Linked DNA regions of Caenorhabditis elegans. The protein of the gene in region 4 interacts with the protein of the main gene of each other region in a pairwise test. Each region holds a gene or a part of one and is shown on either strand. Other genes may lie near its edges. The genes, in order: sorb-1, unc-98, meg-2 and vab-3.

Evidence for each region.
Region 1: the proteins of vab-3 (region 4) and sorb-1 interact in binary tests that used the Caenorhabditis elegans proteins (3 or more experiments, as listed by UniProt).
Region 2: the proteins of vab-3 (region 4) and unc-98 interact in a two-hybrid assay, tested with the Caenorhabditis elegans proteins (2 studies listed by BioGRID).
Region 3: the proteins of vab-3 (region 4) and meg-2 interact in a two-hybrid assay, tested with the Caenorhabditis elegans proteins (2 studies listed by BioGRID).

Annotation. Positions count from the first base shown.
Region 1 is NC_003282.8:13,748,406-13,753,365, reverse strand, and holds the start of sorb-1 (SH3 domain-containing protein), read right to left. Parts: upstream 3,034-4,960; 5' UTR 3,031-3,033; coding exon 2,992-3,030; intron 2,944-2,991; coding exon 2,739-2,943; intron 2,714-2,738; exon of another isoform or gene 2,693-2,713; intron 2,508-2,692; exon of another isoform or gene 2,484-2,507; intron 2,324-2,483; coding exon 2,193-2,323; intron 2,182-2,192; exon of another isoform or gene 2,161-2,181; intron 2,107-2,160; exon of another isoform or gene 2,083-2,106; intron 1,870-2,082; exon of another isoform or gene 1,849-1,869; intron 1,611-1,848; exon of another isoform or gene 1,590-1,610; intron 1,577-1,589; exon of another isoform or gene 1,556-1,576; intron 1,440-1,555; exon of another isoform or gene 1,419-1,439; intron 977-1,418; exon of another isoform or gene 956-976; intron 886-955; coding exon 32-885; intron 16-31; exon of another isoform or gene 1-15. UniProt on the Caenorhabditis elegans protein: Required for organization of sarcomeres in body wall muscles and for maintaining normal mitochondrial position in myocytes.
Region 2 is NC_003284.9:7,569,838-7,575,417, forward strand, and holds unc-98 (Zinc finger protein unc-98), read right to left. Parts: upstream 3,753-5,580; 5' UTR 3,738-3,752; coding exon 3,714-3,737; intron 3,666-3,713; coding exon 3,588-3,665; intron 3,498-3,587; coding exon 3,387-3,497; intron 3,157-3,386; coding exon 3,088-3,156; intron 2,540-3,087; coding exon of another isoform or gene 2,520-2,539; intron 2,299-2,519; coding exon 2,164-2,298; intron 2,122-2,163; coding exon 1,939-2,121; intron 1,136-1,938; coding exon 803-1,135; 3' UTR 537-802; downstream 1-536. Other genes in the region: pcyt-1 (Putative choline-phosphate cytidylyltransferase), read left to right, coding at 2,520-2,539. UniProt on the Caenorhabditis elegans protein: Probable transcription factor required for muscle structure.
Region 3 is NC_003284.9:13,922,099-13,927,964, forward strand, and holds meg-2 (Protein meg-2), read right to left. Parts: upstream 4,032-5,866; 5' UTR 4,011-4,031; coding exon 3,872-4,010; intron 3,819-3,871; coding exon 3,516-3,818; intron 3,235-3,515; coding exon 1,615-3,234; intron 1,572-1,614; coding exon 1,340-1,571; intron 1,184-1,339; coding exon 1,043-1,183; intron 999-1,042; coding exon 974-998; 3' UTR 545-973; downstream 1-544. Other genes in the region: Protein meg-1, read right to left, coding at 5,371-5,398, 5,445-5,585, 5,636-5,866.
Region 4 is NC_003284.9:10,498,081-10,502,889, forward strand, and holds the start of vab-3 (Paired box protein 6 homolog), read left to right. Parts: upstream 1-1,809; 5' UTR 1,810-2,025; intron 2,026-2,157; exon of another isoform or gene 2,158-2,213; intron 2,214-3,007; exon of another isoform or gene 3,008-3,114; intron 3,115-4,049; exon of another isoform or gene 4,050-4,155; intron 4,156-4,490; exon of another isoform or gene 4,491-4,631; intron 4,632-4,809.

The DNA.
Region 1 (4,960 bases), on a different chromosome or scaffold from region 4:
TTACATATGTTCCACGAAAACATCAACTCACCTATCATTTTTGAATCCTTGTTCTTTATAAGACGGAGTTGATGTCATCGGCGATCGATTTTGCTTCTCCTCAAAGCTGGCTCCAAAAAATAAATTGCTCGGCGATTGACTCGCCAAGTTGGGTGATGACTTGGAAAGGTCAATTGCCACTGGTTTATGCTTCCTTCGAATAGTTCCATAATGATCCGTCGAGCTTGTAGAGTAGGGAGCCGGGGATTTTGATTTTACGAGAAGTTGGGAACTTTCCAAATCGATAGATCTCTTGATTTCACTCTCTTTTTCTGGAGAAAATGGTGGAAAATTTGTTGGTTCAAATTGTTTAGCAACAGGAGCCACGTGGCCAAACGGTGTGAGTTCTGAATTGAATATTGAGCTTGATGGAGGCTGAGGCTCAGGTTGTTGATTCTGCTGATTATTTCCATTTTTCAAATTTTCAGTCGATGACGTCATCACTTTTTCAGACAAAGATACACACGGTGTCTCACTTCCCTCTTTCAATTCATTTTTCTCTTCCATTAACTTTTTCCTATATTGCTCATAGAGATGCCGTTGCTCGGCTGCCGCAGAAAATCCAGCAATTTCTGAAGATTCTCCAAATGTCGAGATACACGAGGAAATAATTGATGCACTGTCATCAATGTCGAATTCTCCGAGGTGATGACGTGGATCGAGCGCCACGTCATACGGGATTCGGTAGGACGTTTTTTGAGATTGCTGGGGTTGAGAGGGGGCTTTGGAGCTCTGTAGGACCTGAGCCTGAAGGGCTTGAGCAGCAGAGTGTGGAGGCTTTGTGGAAGGAGGCACTGGTGGTTTCGACTCATTGTGCTTTACTTGACTGTAACTGGCCGGTGGAACCTGGAAGTTGCAAAAAATAATTCTGCTGTTTCAACTTCATAACATAATGCGAAGATGTTAATAGAGTCGGTCTTTCAAATTTCCCCGCTTCGAATTTCAAGTAACTGATTTTGGCATTCCGTTTGCAAGAAATTGGAGGTATCAACACCGAATTGAATAAAACTTTATAATTTTATTGATTTTCCTGGTTAGAATCAGTTCTGCGCGGAAAATCTTTTCAGCAAATGTACAAACCTACGTATTTTAGTTTGGTGATTATATTTTTTTTGTATCAAAAATCATTACAGAAATGTAGGACAAGGTTTGTTCTATGAGTTCTATCTGATAATGATATTTATTTTTTCTGCAAAGTTCGAAAATTATCTCAAATAGTGCCTGAGTTAGGGTTTGCCGTGAAACTTTTTCAGCAAATGACAACTTTCAGACACTATTTGACCCAATTTTCATAGAAAATTGAAAAAAAAAAAATAGAAACCACAATTTTTTCTGTTTCAGGAATTTTATGTCATGACAATAGAACAAGCGAAAAATGTTTATTGGTTTCAATCTTCAGTGTGTCGCAACAAGTCTAAGTAAGAGAATAAGCACTAAATTTTTTAGAACAACATGAAATGTCTTGGCGATTTTTCAGGTCATTTGCATTTGCAAGTTTTAAAAAGTACTCAAAACATTTTTCCTATAAGTTTTCCTATCACAAAAAAATAGTAATGTAGTTTTCATAGACAACACGAAAAAGTATTTTCATTGTTTTAAATTTTTGCAAATCTTCAAACTGTACACAAAATTTTAACGTTTTTTAAAACAATTTTGCGTAAATTTTTATCTACATAAGGATTTTTCATAAACTTCCCGGAATGTACAATTTTCAAAATAGAACTGAAAAGTTGTGTTTTCGGAAAATTAAAAAGAAAGTTCTACTGTTTCGTGAAAGCCATTTAGGACATTTACAATTTTCCGGTTTGATCTGATCGGTTTGTTCTTTTTTAACTTAAAAACTGTTAAATTTTTGAAATTTCGTATATAGAAGCTATTATTACTTGTGAATTGTATTTCTGAAAAGTAGAAAACTTCAAAACTCAAAATAATTTTGCTCATATTTTACAATTTTTAGTGAAGCTTTAGTCGATAATAATTTCTAGAAAAAAACTCACGTGTTTCACTCATAGCTTGTAAAAAAAGCCAAAAAGAAAATAATATCAGTAAAAAATGGTCAGTAATAACTAAATTTAACTATTTCAGCACATTGTTTTCAGTTTGAAAAGTTCGTTGCTTTATTGTATCGCTGTTTTTTTCAAAATAAAACTCACTCCTTGAAAATATTTATTTGGATTGACAGGACCATCAAGTACTCTTCCCATATTATGCTTGTTAAGATGTGGATCCACATATCCATTTGGTTCGTATACTTTTACATTTTTGGCCCAGGAAGGAGTTGAGTCTGGAATTTATTATTTTATTGAACATCAAAACATTTGGATTTTTTGAATATTGCTGGTTAGGAGAGACATCAGGAGTTGTTTTCCGCAAAATCAGAAAAAATTATACAAAAAAAACAGTTTTAGATAGTTTATAAGACTACTTCAAAACTTTATTGTTACTGTTTGCAGCATTCGGACAGAAACCAAAATATCTTACTATTAATAGAAAAAATGACAAAAATCTAATTGCAAAATTGCTGCTTCATCTTCCAGGTCCGTCGAGGTACCAGGTCTCAGCCAATCGTGTATTTGTTGACTATCTTGTTGACTAACATTTTTTACAGTTTCAAGGAATTCATATGAGCTATGTGTTACTTTCCGAAAACTATTATTTCGTAGCTTAATACATAGAACGCCTAGAAAAACAAAACTCACCAACAGGCGGAGGCGCTGGTTTCTGATATCTGGAACTATTTCCAGTTGGTGTCTTCATATCCAACTGCCCATGTATCACATTTCTCAACGCCGCCACATTTCCCTTCGGTGAGAATTTATCAGAATCTTCAAAGGTGTCAAAGTTGTAGGCATCTGCTGCAGGATTTAGATATTGACCAGATGGCTGTTGTGGTTCTGATGAGTTCTGGAAATTAATTAGGGATTGTGGAGTAGATTAATTGAAAGCTCTTACCGCCAGGTTTGACCCGAATGGATGAGGATGATGCATCATTCCTGGAATATGGGAGTTTGAAGAATTGTATAACAAAATAAAGGAAAGAATAAATGAAAAATGTGAAATACGGAAGACTAATATGTTCTGTCAGAAATGGGATTTTTTTTTGAAATTTGTACTGTAACAGTTTTTATAGTTCTCGAACTTTACCCAATCTGACAATAATTGCAGATTCATGGGATGTACACTATTCAAGAATATTTTCCATTTTCCAGAAAACTTCAGACATCTTGAAAATTTGTTTTAATTTTCAAAATATTTTCTCACTAGATTTTTAAATTCTATAAAGATTTTGAACCCAATTTCCAACTAAATTTGACATTTAGGAGCGCCAGTAGAATGCATTTTTGGAATTATAAGGATGGTACTTAAATGACCATATTGTCAATTTTTGTTTTGACTGTTTCATTTAAGTGTTAAAGCTCCCACAATGGATTCACGTTCAATTGACGCAATCCTTAAAATCATAATTTTTGTTGAAATGTTAATGCTTGTGTTAAAGTTATTGTTTTTAAAGTTTTGAACACCTTTTGAGACTTGAATGAGAATGTATCTAGTTTTTAAAAATAGCTTCCAAGACCGGGTAAAATGTGCACGGCAATCACAATTTTGCCATTGCTGGAATTGAAAAATGCTAATTTTTGTTTTCTTAAAATAGAAAAGACACTTGTAATTTTTTAATTTTAAAAATGAAAATAACATTCTGGAACAAGTGTTTAAATTTTATACTGTTTCTTTGAAATGGTAAAGCTTTTACAACATTTTCAAATCTATTCCACCTTTGTCCATGAGTATGTAAGACGTACAACTTTTGAAAAATGTTGTCTGGTCACTTGAGCAGTTTTTTCAAGAATAGTAAAACTTTTAGGTTAAAAATTTTTTATAACAGGGAAAAGGCCACATTTCATCTATCAGAATTTGGGGTTCGACCCAAAAAATTATTTCTACGATTTTTTACACTTTCATTAAGTTTAAATAATTAGAACTCAATGATTGTAGGAGTTGCAAAATCAGTTATGTATTTCACTGAAAACTAAAATTATTGAAAATTAAAATAATAAAAATTACCGTTTCACAGTTGTAATAGTTAACAAGCCCGAAACAGTACTAGGTTTTACGAAAAGTTGTTATTTTGAAATACGACAAAAAAACCAAAATAAGAAAAATTTTATCAGTAAATCGAGTGATATTATTGTTGCGAGAGCCACACTTAGAGAAACTAAGAATGTCCCTCATTGCGTCTTCTGTCCCCGGGACACGAAACAGAATCACATTCTCTCAGTGTCTGCGTCTCTCTATCTTTTTGCTCACTATATACATGACTTTACACACTTTTCGTCTTTCTTCTTTCAATTTTTGTTAAGCAATTGCCGGATGGACCTGCTGAAGAGAAAGAGAATGAGAGGAGAGAAGATGGAACTGCTCTCAAGTGACCAGACAAACTTTTTCATCACTATGATCATGATCATCACACCTTTGATTTAGTACTCTTTTGGCCAGAAGTAACCGTTGTATTTAAAAAAAGGTGGAGCGCAAGCTTATTAGTTTCAAAGGAAGAACAGAAACTTTAACACTTCATAGAAACAGTTAAAATTTGCAAAAAATTTGTTCAAAAAAATTATAGTTTTTTGCCGTTCGCATCACAATTTGCCATCGAAGAATAAACCTAGGAGACTAATTGTGCTTAAAAATAGTTTTTTTATTAGTTACCAAATCTATAAAAATGAGTATTTTCAGAATATGAAAAACATCAAACTATTTTTTAAAAATACAAAAAAGTCTGCCAGTCGACACAAATAAATACGGAATATAATTATAATTCAAAGCTACGAAAAAAATTGTTTATACAGTTTCAAGAAGAAGTTTTGAACAAGTTTATTTTCTTGGTCTACTAAAAAATTGGGGTAAATTTTCATAAAAGTAACAA
Region 2 (5,580 bases), 2.9 Mb from region 4:
CGGCCGCGTGGCCTAGTTTTTTCAATGGGGACTCGATATTAATAACGAACACAAGTGCGTGTCCCAAATTGCATTTGCTTTATTGAGTGAGATATCGTGGCTGTGAAGTGGCAAAATATTTCGAGAACCGTTAATTAAACAATTTTATACATTTTTAAATAATGAATTCAAAATGATGCAAAATAAATTTAAAAAAACGTACAACTTCTAGAACAACGAACAATTGAGCTGTCTCGCTATCATCATCTTATCATTTTTGCTATCAAAAAATCGGTTGTGGGTTGTCGTAACACATCACAGAAGAAAGATTGATTGTGAGAGAGCCGGACAACATTTGTGCTAGCGGTCAATGTCTTTCCCGCTTAACATGGTCCCAATTGTACGATTGACCAGGAATCGATATTTCAGGGAAAGAAGAAAATACCAACAAGACATGACGAGAACAGTATTTATAGAGTGTGTCTGAGTGCGTTGGAAACACACGATTTTTGTGCTTTGTAGTCAATTGTAGTTTATGTTGAACACAAAACGAGTTTCTGCTGCTGACCGTCTTTATAACGAGCGTCTTAAAAATGTGAGGAAAAGACAAAATGACAAGAAATGAGAAAACGATAACACTAAAGAAAAACGTTGATTTAGTTGAAAGAAAGAAATATGAGTTATATGAAAGAACCATATCGAATATACATTTTGAAGGACAAATATTGTTAAAGCTAGCCGATGTTGAAATATATATATATTTTACAAGATCTGGATAGATTTAAATACTAAATTAGAAAAATTTTAAATACTCAGGGGTTGCTCAGAATCGCGGAGTCACGTATCCGCTTGTTCTTGGGAATAAATAGTAGCTTCTGGAATCAGTGTACCCAACTCCTTCCCTTCCCATCATATAACGAGATGCTCGAGGATTGAAGTACTTCTCTCCACGATGACTGTACATGTGATATGCAAGACCACGACTGTCAGAGTAGCTTTTCGAACAATATTCACAAATGTATGGTTTTGAACGAACGTCGTTGTACACTCGGAGTGGATGCTTCGGCTCGTATCCTTCAGTAACGAAAGCTGGCTGTGGAAGATCTTGCTCGGAGACCGGTAGGACTCGCTTCTTGCTTACTTTTATTGTGGTTGTCTGAAGTATTTCAAATTATATTGGTAATCTTCATTCTTCTCACAAATGTATTCCTTGTTAAAGTAAAAAAACGGTTTCGGCTTTTTTTCCGTGTGATTTTTAACAAAACCAAACGAACGAAATTTGAAATACTACTTCTCAAAAATTACTTAAAAACTTGTTTATGGGGGTTCAAAATTTTGAAAAGGCAATACCCAAATTTCAGTCAAAAACTCGAGTTGTTTCAATTTTTCCCAGTCACAAAGACTTAGGTAGCAAATTGTGGTAATTTTTGGTCCCTAATTGCTTGAAACGTATCTTCATTAACAAAACAACGTAAGGTAAACGACCAAAACATGTTTTTAAATTTGGAACTTTCTTCGGTTTCATAACTTCTGTTTCATAACGTTTTCTTTTTTTTGCACTGAAATTCCATCTGTTTAACAGTTGTGATGCAAGAAGTAAGTGCAGTCGTATCAAATTGCACCCTCTCACAGGCTATCAGCAATTTTTTTTTGTTGAGAAAAATATTTTTTTTACGTCAGAAAGCCAAGACACACAAAGTTTTTGTTCACAATTTTCTCACATCAAGGACTATGAAAACCAAATACAAAATTGAAAAGCGAATGGCTGGATGAAAAGGTTTTGATAGATTTTGAGTCGAAAGAACTGAAGAATAAAAAATCAAACATTAAAACAGCCATAGCTAGATTCTGTTGATTTTTTTCCGAGAAGTTCGTAATTCAGATTTTGTTTCAAAAAGCTCTACTGATTAGTAAAATCTAGTAAATTTATTATTTCTCAGATTTCTCAATTAGACAAACCTCTGGAGCACCTATCAATTCGAGTGGATCGTCCGTGTGCTTGTGATATAACATTTCCGTGTAAGAAAAGAACGTCCTTCCGCATTCACACTTGTACCCGTCAATTTCTGAGTGCTGAGCGGCATGATATTCCAGTTGGCAAGCAAATTCAAATGAGTCTCCGCATTTTCCACAGACATATGGCTGAAACAAAGAGTTTCTATAAGTAATCCAGCGAATGAAAACCTGTGAAACGTCATGTATTCTCTCGTGTGCACGGAGAGTGTTCATGAAGTTGAATGTGAGTCCGCAGAAACGACACTTGTAGAATACAAATCCGTTGTCATCTTTTTGCACACTAGTTCCGTCCTGACGCACTTCCTGCAATAATCACTTTTCATCGACTAAAAGAGTCTCTTTTTCATTTAACGCCTTCTTCATTCCCTCCCTTCTTCAGTTTTTCCTTCATCTTATATTTTTCTTCCTTTTATTCCCATTTCCCTCATTCTTTCACATTCAAGCTGTCAATGCTCACATCTATATTCCGCACATTTGGTTCGTGTGCTGAAAGTGAGCGCATCAACTTCAACAACAACAGCAAAATGTTTATTCACAAACAAGAGTAAGTCAACAATACCCATGTGAATTAGCTTGGGAAAGGAGAAGAATGGAAATGGATAGGTTGAAGGAAAAAAGCATAAGGAGCAGCAAGAAATTATATTCCAAGTTAGTATTTGAAAATGATAAGAGAAAAATAAAATCACAAACAACAAAAATCATAATTTGTTTTTTTTTCTTCTTAGCATCCTGCTGAGCTTTCTCTTCCAACAAATGTACAGGACATGGTTACTTCGACAATGGGCTAAATTTAAATTAAATTAGAACTGAGTTTGTCTTTGTGTATTCTGGCAAATAAGTTTTTACTAGTATGCTAATTATAAAATTAGAAAATAAAACCTTTTCTAAACTATCTAAAATTCAGCAAAAAATTAACAATTTCTCTCAAACAACTCAAAAAATATAGTTTCATTTTCTCCGGAAATTTTGCCTGTACAAACCTATAGACTACATTCCTAATCAATGTTTTTTTAATTAAAAATTATTCAAAGCACGAACTATTCAACAAAAAATGCACAAAAACACACACTTCATAAAAACAATAAAACAAACCTGTTGATCACTGCCATCCAAAGCACCGCCACTCGATTTTGTTGGAGTTTGAGCACTTGAACTTCCGACCTACAATAATTTACTTGATGCTTTTAAAATCAAATTAGGATGGCGCTGTTTTAAAGTATTTAAGCGTTTTCAGACACTATTCAGATAATTCAACATTTTTTCACTTGTATCCAAGGGTTGAAAAATGTCAGTATGAATCCAATCTTAAAAACATTTAAAAAAATTTGCCTTAAAACCTATCAAACATTTCAATCTCTGAAATTCTTTTTTTTAAATTTTACCAAACTCACATATGCTTCAACTGTTGGGGCAACAACTTTCATGATCTCTTTGGGCTTTTCCTTATTTCCATTTTCTGACGATTCTCCATTGATGCCGAAGGTTTCTAGACCATGAACCATCTGGAAGGTATTTTTTTAATCATTTCGCAATACAGACACCCCCGCGTTTTTCTCCGGTTTTTCCGTCATCTCTCGGTTTCTCTAACTCACTTCATTGTTCTTCACGGACATCTTGGCAAGATCACAGGCATTCATCAACTCTTCGAAGTCATCTCTTTCCTTTCTTGCCTAAAAAATTCAAATTTAAGTAAAGCTCACAGTGATCAAGAACAATACCTCTTTGAAGATGTCGTCATCCATTGTTGTATCTGGATATCAGCGGTTAGTCGTCGGAATGGGGGTGAAAATTGTCAGAGGGTAGAATGCTCGGTGTGGCTAGCTGGGGTGCTCAACACACAGTGTAAACTCAAGAGACTCGTCGCGATCGAAAAATGCGAGAAATCGCCTCTGCAATCTCTGGATCTGATGTGCTCTTTTGAAATGCTCCCGCTCTCTCATTTCCTTTCCTCGTTGGATGTTTTGCGGGACACTTCTGTGTCTGCAGTCTCCCTCAATCTTGCTCAACTGTCTTAAAGAAGAAAGAGATCTTGACGACACAAGTAAAAAAAGCGTCTAGATTGCAGTGCTCGACATAACTTCAAAGCGGAATCATGTTTCTGAAATGAATGGCACAGATGCTAGTGTTTGTGGGTGACATACATTTTGTGTAGTACGTTGAACACGTGCAAATGATTTGGAGATGTGGGTACAAACAAAAGAAAGAGTACTTTTTTTTTGAAATAATAATCGAAAAGGATCAACGAAGTTTATATTTTAGAAATTATTCAATATGAATTGTAAAAATATTAAATTACATACTGTAAAACTATTATTTGAAACTATGCAGGATTATGAAGCTATTGTTTTAAATGTGAAGCATCGGTCAGGGTGATTTTTTGTAATCACTCCTTTATACAGTGATAAATAATCTAAAATAATTTTGCTTTCAAAAAGGTAGTTATCATTCAGTTTTCACAAATCACAATCTTGGAACACGGCAAAAATAGTTTTTTCTACATACAAGTTTCATATTCTAACTATGATTTGATCATTTGTATATACATATATTGTAGACATTTAAAAAAATGCAGAATTGCTCTAATATTTTTCATAGGTTCAACTTATTCTAGTTGTGGCAATTTACCACAACTTTGAATGAAAATTCTCAAGAATCTAAACGGTTATGTGGGACTTTTATGACTTTTAATTGGAATAAACATTTTACTGGAGCTGCACCACCTTCTGGATTGATCGGATCTTTCTTTCATGCATCACAAGCGGGCTAAAAGTGCACCAATGTTGAAATTTTACACAACAAAAATGCATTTAATTGTTAAATTTTTAACAAGTATAAAGTAACCAGACCCTTTTTCATTAAAAAACAGTTTTCCGTATTTCCTCTATTAGTCTTGCAGCCTCTATTAGTCTTGCAGTCTCTAATAGTCTTGCATCCCTCTTTTTTCAAGACCAGTAGTACTTTGCGGAAACGTCAGCAAATTTGATATTTTTGAGAAAATAACCTAGAAAATGATCAAATAATTTATGAAATATTGCAAAAGTATATATTTTTATCGTTCAGCAAGCTATCGAGTTAAGTTTTCAACAAAAAATAGGTCATTTTTTCAAAGATGGGGCATTCGAAAACTAGTCTTGCAGCCTCTAATAGTCTTGCAACCCTACAGACCAATGGAAAATTAGTCTTGCATGCAAGACTAATAGAAGAAATACGGTATATGAAACAGTCTCACTACTCGGGCTAAATATAAAGTTTTAAAAGAGAACAAGCGACTCACTACGAAATTTGTTTTTTTTTTCCAGCACATTTTGAGTCAATACGTTTATACCACGAACCAATAGCCCTACTTTATAAAATCCTCTCTTGTCAGAAAAGCCGGACCTCCTAGATTTCCATACTTACTGTGTACTTGTGGCCTCACAAAAACTTCTTACATAAGTATCTTCCCTTATGGAACAGTAAAACTACATTATTACCGGTTAAACGTTCCCGCCCCGCCTTCGCAGCGTTTATTAGCTTTTTACCCCTTGATAAATTTCAAGGGGTAAAAAGCTAATAAACGAATAAATAAAAATTTAAAAAAACTGG
Region 3 (5,866 bases), 3.4 Mb from region 4:
CTGTACAATATTGACAATTTGAAATAGATTTTCATAAGCTGTTGTTTTTACACTTTCAAACATGAAACAGTTTTCTCAAAATCATGTTATAAGTTACTATCGAAGATCTATCTTTTGCCAATTACCAACATGTAAACTTTCAAAACTCACATTTAATTCATTCGAAAAGATAATCCTTTGGGCTTCAAAGTTTCTTTATTCTCGTTACAAAGATTCTGAGCAAAATAGCAAAACCCGGTTCCCTTACAGAATTAAGCTATGCGGCGTTAAAAATGACAGTTTCCTGCATAAAAATTTTAATTACTGGAATAAAATAGTACCTTATTTCCCCAAGCCTGTCTCAGAAATTTTGTTCGGAAAACGTCTCGGTCAACTTTTTGTTGACAATGTTTTACCCTCTTCCCCCCCTCATACTTAGTCACCGGACTCTTGCGGGTCCAAATGATTATTTTATATCTAGTTATTCATTCCTTTTTCCTTCACTTCACTGCTTTGTCGTAATTGTGTCATTGTGATTGTTGCCTGATGAATAAATATAAATAAATAAATAAAAATAATTGTATGCATTAAAATAAACAACAATAAAAACGACCGGTGAGGTTATACTTGACAGTGGCTAGGAACCCGAAAAAAATTGAGACTGAGCACTATGAGATACAAGTACAATACAAGATGGGCTGCTTGTTGAAAAAAAAATCACAGGAAAAAACTAGAAGTCGTAAAATTGGTTAGTATGGTAAGAAGAAATGGTATGGTAAAAAAGTGGGTAATAAGGCTGTTATTGGTAGGCGAGCCATTGATCAAAATTAACTGCTGAGAAGTTCCTGTTATGAGATACAAGTACGATACAAGTTGGGCTGCTTGTTGAAAAAAATCACAGAAAAACAACTAGAAATGGTAAAATTGGAAAGAAATGATATGGTACAAAATTGGGTCGTAAGATTGATGTTTGTAGTTGAGCCAATAGTCAAAATTAGTTGCTGGGAGGATCCTTGTCACTGAAATTATAAAGATGTGATATTTAACTATTTTTCCCGCTTACCTCTGATTGTCTGATTTCGGTGAATCAGCCTGGTTCAGATCATCTTCGGGATGATCTATATCGTTGCGACGAGAAGCTTCTCCTTCTGCTTGGCGTGGGAAAGATTGGGCCAGCAAGTCGCTCAATGCGTTGACATTGGCACTGAAAATTATAATTGGTACTTTTTTTATTGGAATACTTTGATGTGCTCGGCTCAGATAAAGAATTAATTGGTACGCGTGTATTATAACCAAACTTTTTTTTAATGCAGCGAGTGCCAAAAAATGCCGAGGCATCGGACTGGATTCCTGTGTGTACCTGGCATCATCTGCTCCTTCGACCGTCGCTGACACTGTTTGATTCTGCACATCCGCCGAGCCTGAGGCTCTGGCGTTTGAGCTGTTGAGAGCAGCAGACCTGGCATTCAAGTTAATAATGGATTGGAGGAAGTTGATGTTCGCTCCGCGATACTGCATTTGCACCATCGTCCGCCAGTAGTCGTAAAGCATCGCCTTTAGTGTTATTGAGAACTTTAGCACTGGAGTCTCACCTAAAATTATTTGAAATCAAAGAATACACATTTTTCCACCTACTGGTTGATGTGCCTGAATCATAATTTGGATCAACTCCAGGAAGTAGGTCGTTGTACAATCGCCTTGCAAATTGCTCAAACTCCAGAGTGTTCAAAAATTCTTCCTCTTGCCTTATCAGATCAGGCAAATGAGGTGCAGGACGTGATGAGCTTTGTTGAACTGGGAACTGTTGATTCCCGGAGCCGTGATTCATAGATGAGTTGGAGGGACCTGCTGTGGAACTTGTTTCAACTTGAGCAATTCCATGAGCCATCAAGAAGCTTTCCTGCAGACTGGGCAACTGAGGTGCAGGGCGTGATGAGCTCTGTCCCATTCGGAACTGTTGATTCCCGGAGCCGTGATTCATAGATGAGTTGGAGGGACCTGCTGTGGAACTTGTTTGAATTTGAGAGAGTCCATGAGCCATCAAGAAGCTTTCCGGCAGATTGGGCAACTGAGGTGCAGGGCGTGATGAGCTTTGTTGAACTGGGAACTGTTGATTCCCGGAGCCGTGATTTATGGAGGAATTGGAGGGACCTGCTGGGGACCTTGTTTCAACTTGACCAATTCCATGAGCCATCAGGAAGCTTTCCGGCAGATTGGGCAACTGAGGTGCAGGGCCTGATGAGCTGTGGTTCATTCGATTCCCGGAGCCGTGATTCATTGCATTGAAAAGACCTGACAGAGAACTCGTTGGAATTTGAGAGTTTGCATGAGCCATCAGGAAATTTTCCGGAAGAGCAGGCAATTGAGGTGCAGAACCTGATGAGCTCTGTCCCATTTGGAACTGTTGATTCCCGGAGCCGTGATTTATAGATGAATTGAATAGACCTGACAGAGAACTCGTTGGAACTTGAGCGTTTGCAGGAGGCATCTGGAAGGTACGATCTCTCGAACGGTTATCCATGTTCATTGCTCGAGTATCTGCATTTTGATTATTTGGCCACAAACCCATGTGTGGAGGAGCTTGAAAGCCGGCATTTGGAAAACCGTATGGCATATTTGAAGTCGGATATCTTCGTGCATGAGCCCTCTGAGCAAGTTCATAATCGTACATGTCTACAAGCCTGGGAACTCCGTGAAGCCTGGGAACACCGTTAGACAAAGGTCTTGGTACGAAATTCATTGGAACGTGGGAATCGCCTTGAGCCATCTGATTACCCATGTTCATTGCTCGAGTATCGGAACTCTGACCATTGACCTCAGGACCAATGTCTGGAGCTTGACCGCCCGTATTTTGTAGACCGTTTGCATTATTTGGAGCCGAATGTCCTTGTATTTGAACCAATCGTGAAGATCTATTGTCTGCCTCTCTTTGGTAATTATATTGCAACCGGAAAATTGGAGCATGTTCTGTTCGTGATTGCGATGACATGGTGGAAGAAGATTCAGAGCGATTTCGATTTCTTGTATCCTGAATCACTGGCTCTTGGAGGCTCGTATTATTGCTCGTTCTCCCATCTCCAATGCTGCCAAATTGATTTTTGACGCGATGTGTGGCCCGGGATGATCTCCGTTGGACAGTCCGGCTTTCGCCTTGAAACGAATTATCAGAAAAACTGTATTCGCGCCACTGATCTACGGATGGTAGATTGATGGAAACGTTACTCCGGTCACCTGCATACTCATCGCGATCAACACCTGAAACAATTTAGCTTATTAATATATGAAGTGCCAAAGAATAAATGAAGTTGTACTTATGTTTCCGATAAATGTTTCATATAAAAAATAAATAGAAATTGGAACCTTATCAATTTGTTATGTTTTGATAACTTATTTTCATTCAATTATTACCCGGTACTTCAGTAAGAAATAAAGAGAGAAAATTTCATACAACATGAATATATGATTCTCCCGACTGTTGAAGTAATGCACTGTGAACGTAGATAATTTTCTAATCAAAGTTTAGATTTGAGGCTCACCTGGAACCTGGTTCTGATGTGAGGGCGCCTGTCCTCCTTGAGACTCGTCTCTCGATTCATATGTCTGTCCACGCCGAGTTGTTGATCGTGGCGGAAAATTGCTTGCATTCCTGTTGTCCGTTTCCTGTGCAATTGTACCACTTTGGTTAGTTCTACTTTGTGTGGACGCGGATGAATCGGATTGAACGGTTGGATCATCGGCAAGAGACGTGTTTCCAGAGAAGCACAGCCAAAAATTCTCCAAATTATTTGAGCCATTGTACATGTCTGTCCAATAAAGTTGCTGCTGGTTGTGAACTGCACCTGTAACAAACCGGTTTAATAAATATAGTGAATCTAAATTTATTTTTTTTTACCTCCAATACTACGCATGTTGGTCGAAGAAACTGATTCATCACGATTCCCGACTCTCGCTCTTTCTTGGGACTGTTCGCGACGGTGATCTCCGGGTGGTGGGAGATTCTCATCCGATGAAAGATCATCACAATTTTCCATTGCCGCGCAACAAATGGAAACCTAAAAATTGAAAAATTGTAGAAAAATGTTAAGAAAAAAGAAAAAAAAGAGATTTCGCAACAACTGCAGATGAAACAGAGAGCGGACCACTGTCCACGTGTAATGGAACGAAGACTGAATGGAGTGCCTCGGAAGGAAAAGTGAGAGGGAAGAGACGCAGCAAGTGCGTGACGGAACTGTGACGATGGATATGATGAAAACAGTGCACACGCGAATTATTGATTTTACCATTGTAAACTGGAACAGATAAAAATGGAACGGTTCTTATTTATGCATGATTTTTTTCTTTGAATTTGAAAACCTAAGTTAGCTGTGAAAGGGCGAATGTGATCGTTTGAAATTTCTCAGAAACCTTATGAAATTCTGGCGTTTGAGAGTTTAAAGTATGCAGAAATTAGAGTTGTAGGGATTTCAAGAAAAAATTGCATAGTTCAGAGTTTCTCAAAATAAAATTCTCTGAAGTCTTATTGGTGTGCAATTTTCTGCTGTTGAACTATTTAAAACAGTGCTGGCCAATACTCGCTTTCAATTTTTCGGCGACTATTTAGACTTTTCCAATAAGTATGCTCCAAAAGCTATACGTTTCAGCAAGAAACTTTTAACTAAAAAAGTGATCCACACGTTTTTATCTACTTAACCTAGTTAAATACGAGCATTCGTTGATCAAATGAGGTCTTAGGTTGATCACTTGAAAAATATAAAAATGCACCGAATCAAGCCACATCATAATTGAACTTTACAAGTTTGTCCTACCATTAAACCTGAACTCGTTTTCTCAATATCTTCATCATGTGAAAAACGGTATGACTTTTAAAATAAACCAAAATAATTCAATGGGTATTTGTTTTTGAAAGATATATGTTTGGATTAGTAATTTCCAGTTTTTACAACAAATTTCAAACATTTAGAACAAAATATTTTTATCGAAATAAACAACAATAGTCGGTGAAATTGTACTGGACAGTGACTGGAAAACCGGTAAGACTGAAACTGAGCACTATGAGATACAAGTACAATACAAGATGGTTGAAGAAAATCACAGGAAAAAGAATTTCTAATCGTGAAATTGGTTAGTGTGGTAGAAATAGAGAGTGTTATGGTACAAAATTGGGTAATAAGATTGATGTTGGCAGGCGAGCCAAAAGTCAAAATTAGTTGCTGGGAGGTTTCTACTATGAGATACAAATACAGCACAAGATGGGTTGATGGTTGATGAAAATCACAGGAAAATATAATTTGTAATTGTGAAATTGGTTAGTATGGTAAAAATAGAATTGTTATGGTACAAAATGGCAGCACAGTAAGTGTGTTCTTGTAGGCGAACCAATTGTCCAACGTCTCATTCATTGCTTGGCAATTCCTTGTCACTGAAAAAAAAATTGCTTGTTATTTATATAAGTTCACAAGTCTCACCTTTGCTTGTCCGATTCTTGTGGCTCAGCTTGTTTCAAATCACTTTCAGAATGAACATTCTTGGTGCAATCAGGAGCTTCGTCATCTTGTTGGTGGAGGAAGGATTGAGACATGTAGCCTTTCACAGAGCTGGCAATATCACTGAAAAGAAATAATAGTACATCGGAATTCGTTTATTATGGTTAACATACCTTGAAGTGCTTGGCTCAGGCGAAAAGTTGATCTTTTCATCAAGCATACGAACAAAATTATCCATGTCCATTGTGCTTCGCTTTTTGATGCCACTGTATCTAATCATCTTCTCAAAGGATGGTGTTTTGGGCTTAGTTGAAGCTGCTGGAACTGGCCCGGCATGACTTTGTGAAGAATCCAAATTCTCATCAAGTGTCTCCAAGGTATTATCAAGACTGGCAGCGGGACGA
Region 4 (4,809 bases):
GATTTGGAGCTTTGTGTTGGAGTTTTTGGTGTTTGACCTTTAGAATATTTATTACAGAGTTTTAATAAATCAAATTGTCTATTGTATGTAGTTTTTTTTTTGGTTTTACATTTACTGATTATTAGATTAAAATTAAATAATTCAATTTTGAAAATTCAGAAAAATAGTTTTGACATCCTCTACTACCTTTTTTTCTCATTTTATCTTTAAAAAATTAATTCAGGGCGATCATTCCCGCCAAATACGGACATGAATCCCATTTGGTTACCAAAAAAGTGCGGCGGCTGTCGTTGAAAATAAAAAAATCCAAAAAGTGGGAAAACGACATCTTCTGTTCACTCATGCGTACAGAATCTCCAAAAACATTTCGCCGTATTCATTTTTGGCGTGATGTACCACATATGACTTGGTCCAGATAAAGGTACTGGTGTAAATTTGTCTGTTGTGTAATCGGCATTTGACGCTAGCTTCTTGCCCAAGTTTGGCAAAAAATTTCAACTTGAATCACAACACGATAAGCTTGGTTTGGACTGTGTTTAAGTTTACGCCAAGTTTGATCCAAATAACAGTTTTTAAATAATATTTTTTTTAATTTTTGGGAAAAACGCAGGTAACGCCAAATGCCAAGTATAATTATTTTTAGACAACCGTCTAAAATTTGGAAAATATATTTTTAATACAAAAAATCTTACTCCGAGATTGATAAATGTGGAAATTTTGTAAACTACGATAAAAAATGCAAATTATTCTTAGTGTGTCAATAAAATTTTTCTATTTACTTTTCACAGTCCCAGTACTTGTTTCCTGCCAGATTTTCTCAAATAGGACTGACACCTGAAGCGGAATAATTTGCTATTTGACTTCCGAGCCCTCGAATTCTGGCGGGCGGTCCAACAAGAAGAACCCTCAATATTCCGTTAGTTATTTGTCGTCTCTGAAGACTTTATTGTCGGATGCAGCGATACCGTAGTCCGAAGAAAAGAATAGAAGAAACTGACAATGAATGGAGAAGTGGAGTAAAGCCAGCTACAAGCAGGGCAGAAAATATAAATGAATAAGTAAAGAAATCAGTTACAGAAAAGTGACATTAAATTTTTTCCACGTATCAAATTATGAAAATTATTCATAGCGAGGTTTTTTAAATGTTTAATTTGCAGTTACACTGCTTGAATCCGAATATCGATGCGGTTGCATTAATATTTATGTATAAGGAATCATCAAAAATAAAAGCAGTAGCTGATTAAAACTTATTTTTAAATCAGATATGTGGTGCATCTCCTTTTCAGAAACCAAGTAGTTTTGTTCGATCTGTTAAATTCTGTTAATCACAATGGTTCAGAATGTCTGTAAACATGCTTAGAAAACTAATGAGGTCGGTGGAGCAGAAAGTCTGTGAAAACTTCTAATTGGAATCAGGTGCTGGCAGTGAAATCACAAAATATCTTGGTCTGTACACCGGGCAAGAGCATGCCTACACCCCGCGAGTTTGGCATGGCTAATCCCTTGTTTGACAGATGTTCAGGGGGAAGGAGCTACCACTGAATAGTTTCCACGTGAGTAGAAATTGATTCATGTTCATAACATTGATGGCAATGTATTCGAGAAACAATGCCCATCTGCCACAAGTTGCAAAAGGTAGATTGTGAATAAAGCTGCGCATAATCCATAGAGAATATGAATGAAAACTCCGCCCATTTCAAAGAAGACGATTGGCCCGAGAATAGAAGCAAAAAGTCAGCGGTGTCCTAGGTGAGACAACGGAGAAAACGTGTCCGGGCGCGGCTCTTTTCAATTGTGGACCGAGAGGGAGAGACGTCGACGTCTTCTTTTTATGTCACACTATATCGTTGAAATAGTTTCGCGCTTTTTTGTTCTGTCCCCCGAAAGTTTGTTGGACAGTTAGATACTGAGGATCTCTTATTCTAACACTTCCAATATCTACACTTACACTAAATTTTACGCTACACAACACCAAAATCCGCGAGTATTCAAATAGTGACGGTCGAGTTGACAAAAGTGAACGTGGTGAGTTAAACTCTTGTTGGGTAATGAGTTAGCAGAAAATCAATAAGATGGCGAGCACTTTCAGATGGGCGTGCTAATGAGGTGGGCATGGGCTAGAAGTAAGAACTACCCTTCTTCGTCGGCATATATTTTCTCATTTCAGTCTGTTGCCTTTCTGCTGATTATCATTAGACTTTCTTGTTGAGTAGATAAATTTTGATGCCTCATTGACAATCATAAATAATAGAGAAACAATCGATATTGTCATAATGATAACAAACTAAGTAGGAATAATGTAGAACTGGTTATATTTTGAATAATTTCAAAACTCTTTGGTCTTTAGGCTAAATATAGAAACCGAGTCCTTCTCGAAACATTGATGTCGTGGGCTGCTATCATGTGTCTCCTATGACTTCAAACTTTTCTGAAATTACGTTACCTAATTTTTTTGAGCTTTCATGTTGTATCACAAAAATTTTTCATTCTGCTATAATTTTTCACAGATAATTGTTTGGTTCTAAATTCTGGGCAAAGTTTCAGAATATATTTTGAACTTTAGAACTGAATTCTTGAGCATTTCTGATTTAAAAAATCTTTTTGAACTTTTGCTACAACTTCTTTTCTCTACCATAAAATGTTTTCAATCTTGTTCGATGCTTCTACAAAAACTCCAACATCAGGAGCCATGCTTTCTCCTCCCACTTATGTTATTCATTGTGTATGTACATCCGCATGTGTCCATCATTGACTCCAAATTCCATTAGCCATCTACCGTATCTGGATTTCCGGTGTGTGACGCCGACTCCATGGCCAACACAGAATCATCGTAATTCTCCCCGCAATCTACATATCGCTACTCCAATTTTCGAATTTTGCCCCGTGTTGCAATTCCAATGCATTCAATCAAATTTAAAAGTTTTGATGATTTGTCTACTCATTTTTCCCACCCGTTCCGTTTTCTCCATGTTCAACATTTTTGTCGCCACCACCATCACTGAGAGGGGTTTTTGTAATTGGCTTGAATTGACACCCATTAACCGGCACACCCGCTGTTTGGAAGATGTCATAACGAAAACGTCGTTTGATGGAGGTCTTTGTCCGCGCCTTGTTTCCCTGTCCCTATAGTTGAAGGTGTTCGCCATCAGGCACCACTACTTTTTTGGCGCCCCTCTCTTTTTCTCTCTCGTCAGTGTCAAACGAGTAGTTGAAAATTGTGCTATTCCAAATTACATGGAGCCCCACTCCTCTGACCCGAAAGCCTTTCCATCAAATTTCGTTTTAGTAGATCTTTTTAACTTGTCATTATGCTCCTTTGGATAAACGATTTGGCTCACAGGCAAAGCATTTTCAACTGTGGGGACATTCCGGAAACACTTAGCCAATTGATAATGACAGTCCATCGATGAGTTATAAGATATGTTATCAGATGTACAAATCTGACACCCATACAACAGTCCTCACCTCGCTCTCGTCGTCATTCAGTTGCCAAAATCGTCATGCCTACTTCCAATTATGCAACTTTATCTTACGGGAAAATCTAATAACTTTTGCATTTCAGCTATGGCACACATGTTCAAGACATATTTTTAAAAAGTGAAAAGGTTGTCGGGAATATATAAAGATAAGGTATTGAAACTTTGGAAGCCCACGTTGAGACACTGTAAATAAACATTCACATTCACAATTTTTATCGTAGTCACTAATGTCTTGTTCCTTTAAAAAACATTTTCAATTTGCGGATTACAGAGGAACTAACTTCAAAAATTAAAAAAAAATCATTGAAAACGTTTTCTAGAATTACTTTTATTGAGTTAGAAAAGTAGAATCATGCGCAAAGTTTTTAAATTGATGTGCAAGAAAAAATTATCTTTAAGCCTAAAAAGCAAAATCCAATTTACGACACTTCCAAACGACAGTAAAAATTTTAAAAATTCAAAACTTCTCTTTTTATTTTTATCCGCAATCTTTGAATCACCAAGACCACTATTATGAGCAACTTCAAACAAAAAAGTTTATGAGTTCAGATGTAGTTCGAGATACTGAGTCATGAGCCTTCTCCTTTTCGTTCTCAAGATTTTGATCTCCTCAAACCGAGCTGGGTCCATTTCTACAGCATTGTTCTATTCTTTTGTCAAATTGGCTTTTTTAACCCTTTCTTACCTGCCGAGGCCTTCTTTGTTACCTTCCGATCACCACATCTCGACGGTCCTCCCCTCTTTATCTTACTTGCTGCTAATTACGTGTTCTCGTCAGTCGGCTCCAGGCCCGGATTAACTTTGACTACAAAACATATGTCGTTTGTGTTGTCTCGCTGCTGCATCAATTCTGGGTCAATAATTTGTGATTAGCTACCACCTCCGGTCTAATTAAGGGCTCCACAGGTTGAGGCAGCTCACCTTCTGTTGTTCTTGTTTGGTAATACCAAAGCATCTATGTAGTTAGACTTTTGTAAAAGATTATGAATCAGTGAATCAGTACTTGCAGACAACTGAAAAAGAGTACATGCTTACTTTGACGTTAATGGAACTTCTAGAAGTATCAGATAATGTATTAGAAAATAGGTACCTGATTATCATATGGGCCAGTGACTCGGAGACGAGTGATAAAGTATCACATGTAACTGAGCATGTAGTACATGTACCCTAGAAATCCCACCTTCCATCTCACCTTTTTCGGGTCTTACTTCTGTTATTCTTTTTTAGTTTCCATAATTCACTCAAAACCGCTCATTACCATTACCACATTACTACTTCTCCGCTATATGCATTTGATATTAGACACCAACTATTGTGACCGGTGTCTTCA